Linked DNA regions of Xenopus tropicalis. The protein of the gene in region 2 interacts with the protein of the main gene of each other region in a biochemical or structural test. Links are inferred from orthologs where the notes say so. Each region holds a gene or a part of one and is shown on either strand. Other genes may lie near its edges.

What was found.
Region 1: the proteins of rps6ka1 (region 2) and erbin interact in a test that uses a peptide from one of them, tested with the Homo sapiens proteins (2 studies listed by BioGRID and IntAct). The link is inferred for Xenopus tropicalis from reciprocal best matches to the Homo sapiens genes RPS6KA1 and ERBIN.

Annotation. Positions count from the first base shown.
Region 1 is NC_030677.2:187,603,153-187,608,685, reverse strand, and holds the start of erbin (erbin), read left to right. Parts: upstream 1-2,147; 5' UTR 2,148-2,797; intron 2,798-5,533. UniProt on the Homo sapiens protein: Acts as an adapter for the receptor ERBB2, in epithelia. By binding the unphosphorylated 'Tyr-1248' of receptor ERBB2, it may contribute to stabilize this unphosphorylated state.
Region 2 is NC_030678.2:77,655,445-77,660,223, reverse strand, and holds part of rps6ka1 (ribosomal protein S6 kinase alpha-1), read right to left. Parts: intron 4,577-4,779; coding exon 4,418-4,576; intron 3,433-4,417; coding exon 3,271-3,432; intron 3,140-3,270; coding exon 3,063-3,139; intron 1,802-3,062; coding exon 1,684-1,801; intron 1-1,683. UniProt on the Homo sapiens protein: Serine/threonine-protein kinase that acts downstream of ERK (MAPK1/ERK2 and MAPK3/ERK1) signaling and mediates mitogenic and stress-induced activation of the transcription factors CREB1, ETV1/ER81 and NR4A1/NUR77, regulates translation through RPS6 and EIF4B phosphorylation, and mediates cellular proliferation, survival, and differentiation by modulating mTOR signaling and repressing pro-apoptotic function of BAD and DAPK1.

The DNA.
Region 1 (5,533 bases), on a different chromosome or scaffold from region 2:
CCAATATGGATTAGTGGAGGTTAGTTACCATCAAGTAGACGGTACTGTTTTAATACTTACAGAACAAAAGAAAGTTGTTTTTAAAAATTAAAATGATTCATCTAAATGGAGTCTATGGAAGATGGCCTTTCTGTAATTCAATGCTTTAGGGTTTACGGTTAACAGATCCCATACCTGGACCACACCTTAAGGGTTCAAGTTTGATTTTGTATATTTTCTGGCCAGAGTCCCTTTAAGTAGAATTACATAACATACTGAACTACATAATAATGATGTGATTGACATTAGTTTTTATGCTACTTCCAGTGTATGTACACAACCCAGTCCTGGACTCAACTATATCATAGATTGTACATTTGATGTCAGTTTATTTAGATTATGTGTTATACCTTTAGGGTTAAGGAAACTTCATGAGGTCACAGCCAGCAATTTGACCCCTTTTGATCCCTGTAGTGTTTTTTTTTACCTCTGGGCGTTACTTCAACTATGGCAAGCGGTCAGTATGTCAAATGCTTTACAGACTGATGCACTACATTTTGTCAGATGATTCCGATGGAACTGATTATATCCAAATGAGATTATTATTTAATTTATAATCTTTATACATGTATGTATAGCTTTAGTTTCTGTCCTATATGTTTAGCTTTATAGCTTACATTAGCATCAAGCATCACTTTACAAGGCAGGTGGCAACTCTACTCAAGACACATATTAATCTTTTATCTAATGCTCACACTTAAACTGTTTTGTAATATCTGTGGAGTTTCTATTTATTTAACGAACCATATATTCTGACCTAAAGTACAACTGAAGTTAATAAAATATAAATATTGTCCATAATGGACACAATAAAACAAATTAAGGGGTTATTTACCCCTTTTATTCTACAGTATTTCTTATCCACTGTATTTGGACACGTTTGGTTCTTATGTCGACTCTGACATGCCATAGTAAGTGTATGGACACTGATCAGTTTACCACTACTTGAGTAGCTCTCCTGATTTAGTGCATTCCTTCCTAGTGGCTAAGGCTTAGGGTGGCCTGACAAATGACAATAAAATCTTTGATTTTTGGTACATGTATGGAAGCTAACATTTGGCATCCCCCAGTTATTGTAACTTTCATTCTCCTTTAAAAACCTAATCTGCTGATGCACCACGTTTTCCATTGTATGGAAGTGTCTTCACTTTCTGCTGTTCCCGTTGTTCAGCCTCGACAATGTATGAAACTGACTGTAAGCTCTTTTGGGCAGACCCTTTTTACCTCTTGTATCGGTTACCAGTTAATTATTTGTATGTAATCTGTATGTTCAGTGCATACACCCATTTATTGTACAGTCCTGCAAAATATGTTGGTGATGTATAAATATGTGTTAATATTAATAATAGTAATAATAATAACCTTGTATTGCACCTGCAAGCTGATTGGTCACATACTGTACAAGGTCCGGTTGTATATGACTGCCTAAAGGCTATGTATGTAGAGGCACTGACTGTATAATACTTATATTGCCATGACCCTTGGGTACAGAACACAAGTAAAAAGGTTAAACAAATTGTGGTGGTCACTTAAATCTGGGCACCTGTAGCCAATAGCCTTGGATACTCCATGACACTTTCAAGGTGATGAGCCCCTAACAAATCTGTTACTTAGGATAACAGTGACTGGCACACACACTCATGTAAATGCCTCTGTGGACCAGTCACTGATAGCTTGGGGCACTGGGTCAGCACCCTATTTGAATGGGCTAATAGCATCACAAATTAACCCTAAGGATTAAACACTAAGTAATGGATCCAATCTACATACACCTAGGGTCCTGTACAGTAACACTTGTCCCTGAGTCTCATTACATCTTGTCCTACAAGCTGACAATCAAATAAAAGATGGAATAAGCATTTTAAAAATAGGATTTCGTTTCCCCCCTTCAACTGTTGCAGAACTAAAATACCCACAAAGGTTCCTAGTGCGGGTTAAGGGGTTGTGATTGAAACACATCTGGGGGGGCAGCAGCTTTACTGCACCTTTTCATTAGAAATATGTTACATGATGGGGGTAAAATGAAGAGAGAGCCTAAGCAGGGGCCACATAGAGGAGAAACGAGACGCCTCAGGAAGTGAGAGTAGCAAAGAGACTGCCCTTATGAGAGGGGGGAGGAGAGACTGGAGACAGAGGGGGAGGGGAGAGTGTGTGCGGCTGCGAGCAGTACTGGGGAGGAGAGAGTGCTGCTTGGCCGGGCTGTGTGTGTGAGTGCGCTGAGGGTGCGGCTCCCATAGTGGCACAATATACCCTACACTCCGGCTCACCCTTCATGACTCGTACGGGTGTCACTAGGAGGAGCAGTGAATGCAGCGGGACCCCTGTCCCTACACGGCTCTCTCTCTTCCTACACCCCCCTCCCCTTGCCTGTTTATTCCCCTGACCCCCACTCTCTCTCTACTCCCCGAAACGTGGACCTGGAATCCCGTCCCTGGTAAAGAATTGTCCTTTGCTTCTCTCTAATTGGGATGTTTCCAGCCCCCTCCCAGGATTAAGGAACGGTGAAAGCATTGGAGGGAAACGAACTTGAGCTCATTCGGTTTGGAACTTCTACAGCCCCTTTGTGATCCTCTCTCCCGGCCTTCGGGTTTGTTGTTCTCTGGCCATCTCTCTCTCTCTCTGCGGAAAATTCTATACGTTTGTGGGATTATTACACCTTTCTGGATTCTGAGAAGAGAAAAGCTTGTTGGATTTACAATAAACTCAATGCAGGAGGAAGTGGAACATTACACTGAAATATCTAGCAAACTCTAATAAGGTAATGCTATGGCTTTTACAGGGGAGACAGGGGGGGAGAGTTGGATGAGGCTGCTTTGTGTTTTGGCCAAGGACTGGGGGGCTTCAGCAGTAAAACTCAGGGCAAGTTAGCAGGTGGTTGGTTCTGGGCAGAAACATGCTTTAGTCTGGGGCAGAAGGATGCTGCTGGTTTTAAATGGACCGAGATGTTGTCTGATCTCTAAACATCACCACAGTTGATATAAGAAGTTCTCTGCTGCACAAAATGGTCCAGCAGCATGTTGCAGCTGTCTGAGTTGTCGGGCAGACTGCTCTCCCTCTCTGTGCTGCAACCAGATGCTTCTATTGTTGCTGTTGGGGCTGTTTATAAATAAGTGCTGTTTTCCAGGGTGATTATTAGTATATTACAGATGCTATTCAAGTTCTACACGGACATGAAGCATACAAAGAGAAACTGAAATCCGAGAGCTTACAATCTAGAATGCAAATGTCTGATGTCTGGCCTTCCAGCTGTTATTTGAACTTACAGTATTCCTTGCCAGGTCAAGACGGTTGAAGAATATGTTGTCAGCTGATTGGCAAGGTAGAAATCCCTTAGGCCTTACGGTTTTCAGACTTCAGAACCCCCATTCATGTTGAACATTTGGTTGGGGCCCTCCTCCGCTTGTAACTCTGTTACAGATGGCATAGCTCCTTGAGTGTTTGCCACAAAAATCTTACCCTGTTAACCGTCATTCCGGGAATTCTAGGAGTATATAAAAAAGCATATTTCCCCTCTGTAGTCTACCTGCTAAATCACCCCCCCCCAGTTACTGCCTTGTTCAGGCCCACAGTTTCGAAGTCTTGGCTATTTTAGATCAGGGATATAATGTTTGAGCCCCTCCATCCTCGTACTACAGTAGTGTTTGACTGTCATGGTATGCATAATAGTTGGAGGGCCCCAGGTTGGACATGCATGTAAATGATATGTTTCCCATTCAGCTGTTATAAAATTGCAGCTTCTGTCTTCAACAGTGAGTTCCCAGGTTACACACATGTCTGCTATAAACTCAGTTTTACTCTGGTGGTTCTGCTCAGCAGGCCCTGTCTGCATGTAGTGTGGGGGGGGGGTCCACACTGATTGGAGTCGTTGCCTAGCAGTTCTGTAAATGCAACAATGACCAGAACTTGCTTTGCATCTTTACAAGAATTTCTAATGGAGCTCAAGCTCTTTTGCTTAAGTTGACTTTCTACCAATGCAGAAAATGACAAGACTAAGAGAAGTAGAATACAATGTTTGAGCCTGATGGTAAATCAAATAACAGATATTTTATTATTAACTTTACAGCTTTATTAATGTATTAATATTTGTGCCATCTACCTGTCTGTGACTGACCTGGCACATGGGATTTGATCCAGGTATGGGATCCTGGAAACCTGTTACCCAAAAGCTTTAAATTACGGGAAGGCCATCTCCCATAGACTCCATTTTAATCAAATAATTCTAGTTTTTGAAAATGATTTCCTTTTTCTCTGCAATAATAAACCAGTACCCTATTCAGTTTAATGTTTAAATGATTTTTTTAGCAAAATTAACATATGGCAATCCAAATTACAGAAAGACCCCTTATCTGAAAAGTCCAAGGTCCCGAGCATTCTGGATAACCGGTCCCATACCTGTAGTTGAAATGACCTGCAGCTGCTTCTTTAAAATGATTACACTAAAAAGAATACATATTTTAAATAAATAATGCAGAGTGTCCATGTCATGCTCTGTTTTCCTTACCGTTCTATTTGTAGGAAATATTAAATGACACAGTTACGTAAAGCGAAGCTTTGCGAGAATACAAGGCAACGTTTGGTGTGGTTTTACAGCTATAAAAATTGAGTGTTAGTTGGAGGCCTGCTCTTTTCTTTCCTGTGTTACTTCAATGGCCTTCGTTACATTAACCCCACTGCCCAGATCAGGGCCTTGACAAACATTTTAAATAGTTTTAAACTTTACATATTTCTTGCGTGTTTGAAAAAGTTTCCATTAACTTTATCTTCAGAAGGGGTGTGTGTGGGTGTATGAGGTGGGGGGCAGGGCAGATTGCTATGGGATTTCATTTTTTTTCTGCCTTGTTCTTACACACAGTGGAGCTCTTTGTTCATTGGAAGGCATGCAGATCTAAACTGGCTCTCCTAATCGGCCAGCCGAGTGCTCCACTGACAGCAGCACAATACAACTTTTTCAATTTGACTGCAAGGGAAAAATATGCCAATACTTTTATAATTTATTTATTTTATTTTTCTAGGTCAGATCTACTGAATCCTAGAGTTGTGCTTTCTTTTTTTTTTTTTTTGCATACCTGGGCTTCATTGTCAATACTGAAGGGTTGTGAAGTTACTAGTTCAAATGTGACCCCCATGGTTATGATTGTCTACAGTAGTAATAATCTACAGCAGTGATCCCCAACCAGTGGTTCTGGAGCAACATGTTTCTCCCTAACCCTTGGCTGTTGCTCACAGTGGCCACAAAGTAGGTGCTTATTTTGAATTTCTGGCTTGGACGCACATTGTGGTTGCATAAAAATCAGGCTTACTGCCAAACAGAGCCTCCTGTAGACTGACTTCCCAAATAGGGTCTACTAAATAGCCAATTAGAGCCCTTATTTGGCATCCCCATAAGGCTTTTTCATGCTTGTTTTGCTCCCCATCTCTCTTTACATTTCAGTGTGGCTCACAGGAAAAAGAGGTTGGTGGACCCCTGATCAACAGCAACTGCCTGGGCAATAGC
Region 2 (4,779 bases):
ATCGCTGCTACCCCAGGTGCTGTTTTCTCCTAACAGGGGCAACAGCCCGGGGTAAAAGGCAGGGCTGTGGAGTCGGAGGCAATTTTGGGTACCTGGAGTCGGAGTCGGCAAAAAATTAACCGACTCAGACTCCTACTAAATTTAAATGGGAATAAAAAAAATAAAATAAAGCAAGTTTAAATGTCCCAATTCACAAACAAACAGTCATAATTAATTACTTCTCTGCTATAAGAATATAGCCCAATGCACGCAGTGCATAATCGTACACGTTGAGTGACCATGAAGCATGCTTTTCATTGACTGTATGCTTCACTAAATGGGACGTAACGCACAGTTGCGGCAGCTCCATTGCGTCGTGTTCCTCTGTTACAGGGAACACAATGCCCACTGTGAACCTAGCCTAACTCTCACTGATAACTAATTAAGTATGCCAGCTATTACTATCCAGCCACTTGTTTAAAAAAAAAAAAAATAAACAAAACCTTATTGTTTTCATTGTGTTTGTTTTTTGCTTTAATTGGGCAATACAGTAGAGTGTTGGCTTCCTAGCCAGTAGTTCTGTGGTTAAAGGAACAGTAACACCAAAAAATTAAAGAGTTTTAAAATAAATGAAATATAATGTACTGTTGCCCTGCACTGGTAAAAGTTGTGTGTTTGCTACAGTAACTCTACTATAGTTTATATATAATAAGCTGCTGTGTAGCCATGGGGGCAGCCATTCAAGCTGGAAAAAAGGCACAGGTTATATAGCAGATAACTGATAAGCTCTGTAGAATACAATAGTGTTTTATCTGTTATCTGCTATGTGCCTGTGCCTTTTCTCCTTTGAATGGCTGCCCCCATGGCTACATAGCTGCATTCTTTATATAAACCATAGTAGTGTTTCTGCGGCAAACACACCAGTTGTACCAGTGCAGGGCAGCAGTACATTATATTGGAATTTCTTTTATACACTTGAATTTTTTGGTGTTACTGTTCCTTTAAATGATATGTATATCTCTTTCCTTTCCTTCAATGAATGTCTAAAATACATTAGCATATTAAAAACATAGGAGTCTGAGAATTTATCTACCGACTCCACAGCCCTGGTAAAAGGTAAGCGATTTAAGTCACTTGGGGGTGCCTAACATTTTGGCACCCCCAAGTGACTTAGACTTTCCTTCTCCTTTAATGGACATTTCTCAGTGACATTACAGACAGGTCAAATTGTGAAATGAAAGCATTTTGCAATCTCTGTATAGCCTTCCTCTGCTTTGTAGGCATCAATTCTCTACATTTCAGATCCTCAATCAGTTGGTTAGAAGTGCCCATGGTTGTTGAGTCGCAGCACCAAACTTGGGGTTTCAAGATTTTATTAAGCTTTGCAATTTTCACCAGGTGACAATATCTATGGGCTGTTAAGGCCTAATGAAATAAGTCCATGCAAAAACTGTTTGTATCACTGGAAAAGTGAAAGGGTGTCCAAACTAACTTTTTTACATGCCACCATTAATATTTTATTAGTTTCTTTGTGAAATTAAAGTTAACAATTTCAAAGGGGCCAATATTTTTTATTTTTTGCTTATATGGCATATAAGGTTATTAGTATGTTTAATGACATACCAGCATGAACATTTCAAATAAAGTGAATCAAGGAACAATGAAAGATTATACCACTTATCCTACACCTCTACCATCTTTTACCTTTGCTGAGTCAGACACAGTATTCCAGTTTCCACCCCTCAGTGTAAACTTCCCACTACCAATACGAGCTAGTATCTCTTCAGGGGTGTCTCCTGGTCCATTTGCAAACGGTGTGTATCTATGTAAACACAAATTAACAAGATTAGTTTTAATACACATCTTATGTGTATATGGGTACGGATTCCTTTATTTAGAAAACTCTGAATTATGGAAAGGCCATCTTTCATAGACTACACTTTCATAAAATAATTTGCATTTTTAAAAATGATTTCCTTTTTCTCTGTAATAATAGAAAAGTACACCTTGTAGTTGATTCAACTAAGATATAATTAATTCTTATTGGAGGCAAAACAATTGTATTGGGCTAAATTAATGTTTAAGTTATTTTTTAGCAGACATAAGGCATGGAGATCCAAATGAAGCAATGGCTTCCTTATCTGGAAAACCCCAGGTCCTGTTAATTGTGGATAACAGGCCCCCATACCTGTATTACAGTGATACCTCAATTTTACATCTCCAGTTTTAAAATTTTCTGCATTATACTACTTTTTTTGTGATCCCACAAACTTATAATGCATTTCCCTTATTTTATGTTTTCCCTTGTTTGTATGTATGTATATTTTATTTAAATAGCGCTACAAATGTACAAAAAGCTCTACAGCAGGACAATAATTTACATGTAGGGACCATTACAATAAGATATAAATAAATACAGTGTACAATAATGAGTACAAATAAACAAAAAGTACAGTTGCATTAAAGATTCCACAAAGCTAAATGACAAAAGACAAGAGGATGGAGGTCCCTGGGTGGGTAATGTAGAGACACAAGAAGGATGGTATTTGGTGCTGCACATACAGTGGGTGACACTGCAATATAAGTGCCATCTAATATATAGTTATATACCACCTCCTGTTATGGTATGATAAACATAAAATTAGTGTTCTTTTGTACGTATATATTATGTATAAACAATTGCATAACAGATGAGCTTGGATTAAAGAGACCTCTAACAACTTAAAATTTTGCCAATACAAATCCTAGTTCTGCACAAAGGTGAAAAAAACCCAACCTGAAGCAATGGGACCACTCTCTAGTTCTGCAGGAGGGGCTAGAGAAAATTAGGGCCACTGAATTTTGGGGTTCAGATAGTCTTTGCACAGAAAGTAGCCATAGAGTACCTCCTGGATGAGAGGATGAACCCTGAGAAGTTTTGTTACATTTAGTCATAACACATTTTTTACAAATACAAATGTATAAACATTCATCTTCACATATAAAATAAAGATATACTTACTATTACATATTGTGCATAAAAAAGGCCCAAAATGGAGAATGAATATACAATTAATCAACTTTTACAATTTCTAATTGCTTACCCTGCAAGCATAGTATAAACGAGGATGCCTAAGCTCCAGATGTCACAGCCCTCATCATAGCCCTGTCGCTTTAATACCTGTAGAAAGAAATGCAGATTTCAGTCTTCGTCCATCAACAATACCAATTTTCCCTGCTATAGGTTTGATATATATCCCCTTGAAATAGTCACCAATCCACAGAACCACCTTCTTCCTAATAAAACATTACCTCTGGCGCAACAAAGTTGGCTGTGTAGCATGGAGTCATAAGCAAGCCATTCTCTGCTCGTAGCTGTTTAGCAAATCCAAAGTCACATATCCTGATTGACTCTGGATTACCTGATTCATCAACATACAGAATATTGCTAGGCTTCAGGTCTCTATGAACTACCTGCAAAACAAATAATAAAAAAGTGTGGTTAAGAAAGATTTTATTTTACCCAAATATCTGGGATGCACCAAATCCAGGATTCAGTTCAAGATTTAGTTGAGTTTCAACACTTTTTACAAGATCCTTATTAGAAAGAAACCTTCTTGCTCATCCAAACCAATTCTGAACCCTTCTGTCATGTGATAAAGGACAACTGAATGCATACAATCTGTATTTCTAGTTGATAAATAATATGCTGATCATAATCTGAGTGTGGTATACTTAATGTACAGATTTAATTCATCCATAAATAACATGAATGAAGTCCATCCTTCTTATCATAAAGTCCTAGGCAAGCAACCGTATATTTATAGTTTTTATTTTCTAAAAAGATGATTAGGAAACCAGAAGGCTGAGGATTTTTCTATGTCATCCAAACTTCAGCCCATAATAGGGTTTCAAATAATGAAGCAAACAGCTGTCTTTCAAATACAATTATTACAATATTTTATTTGCATTATGTAACCCACCTATTCTGTAAAAGAAAAAAAAAAAAAAAAAAAAAAAAGAACTGTTACAATGTATACAATCTAAACTTGATAAAGTACATCTGTAACAAAGATTATATGAGATGTTATGCTTTTCTGCCATTTAATTCCCATCCCCCTTGGATGGTTTCCCCAGCTTTCCTGCATTGCCAAGGGCCATACTTCCTATAACTGGGCCTGACTATACCATTCTGCAAAGTGTCTGGGTTTGCAGCATTCTTACTTATTTGCATTTCATTACACCTAATTATACCTAAAGTAACAAATGAGAATTCTGCATTCAAACTCTAATAGATCAGTAAATATAATGTAGGTTATAACACTCGAGCAAACCTGGTCACTACCTTAAATTGTTTGTGTCTAAGTTTTGAGTTCACTGAGTTCCACACAATGCTGACCACTTGGATGTTGTTGTTGACTTATTACCTATATATGATGTAAACATAAATTAGTCTCACCCCTTGAGAGTGTAAATACTCCACTGTCTTGCAAACGGTTAAAAGGACAAGATTGGCTTCTCTCTCAGAGAAGAATTTTTGCCTTAGAATGCGGTCCAGGAGTTCCCCACCTCGCATCAACTCTGTTACAAGGTAGATACTGTTACCCTCTTCATAAACCTGTCAAGGGACAGAAATGGCAGATCCCTGTAGGTTATTAGAAATACACCTTTGCTTCTTACTCAAACCATTTAAAACTCCTGGTTTATTTCTCTGCACGGTACTATGTTATTTGAATTTACACATTTTATGCATTCACACTACTGCCAAAGCATTTATATTTACAAAACTAATCAAATAGCTTATTTTTGCCAAGCTTTCAA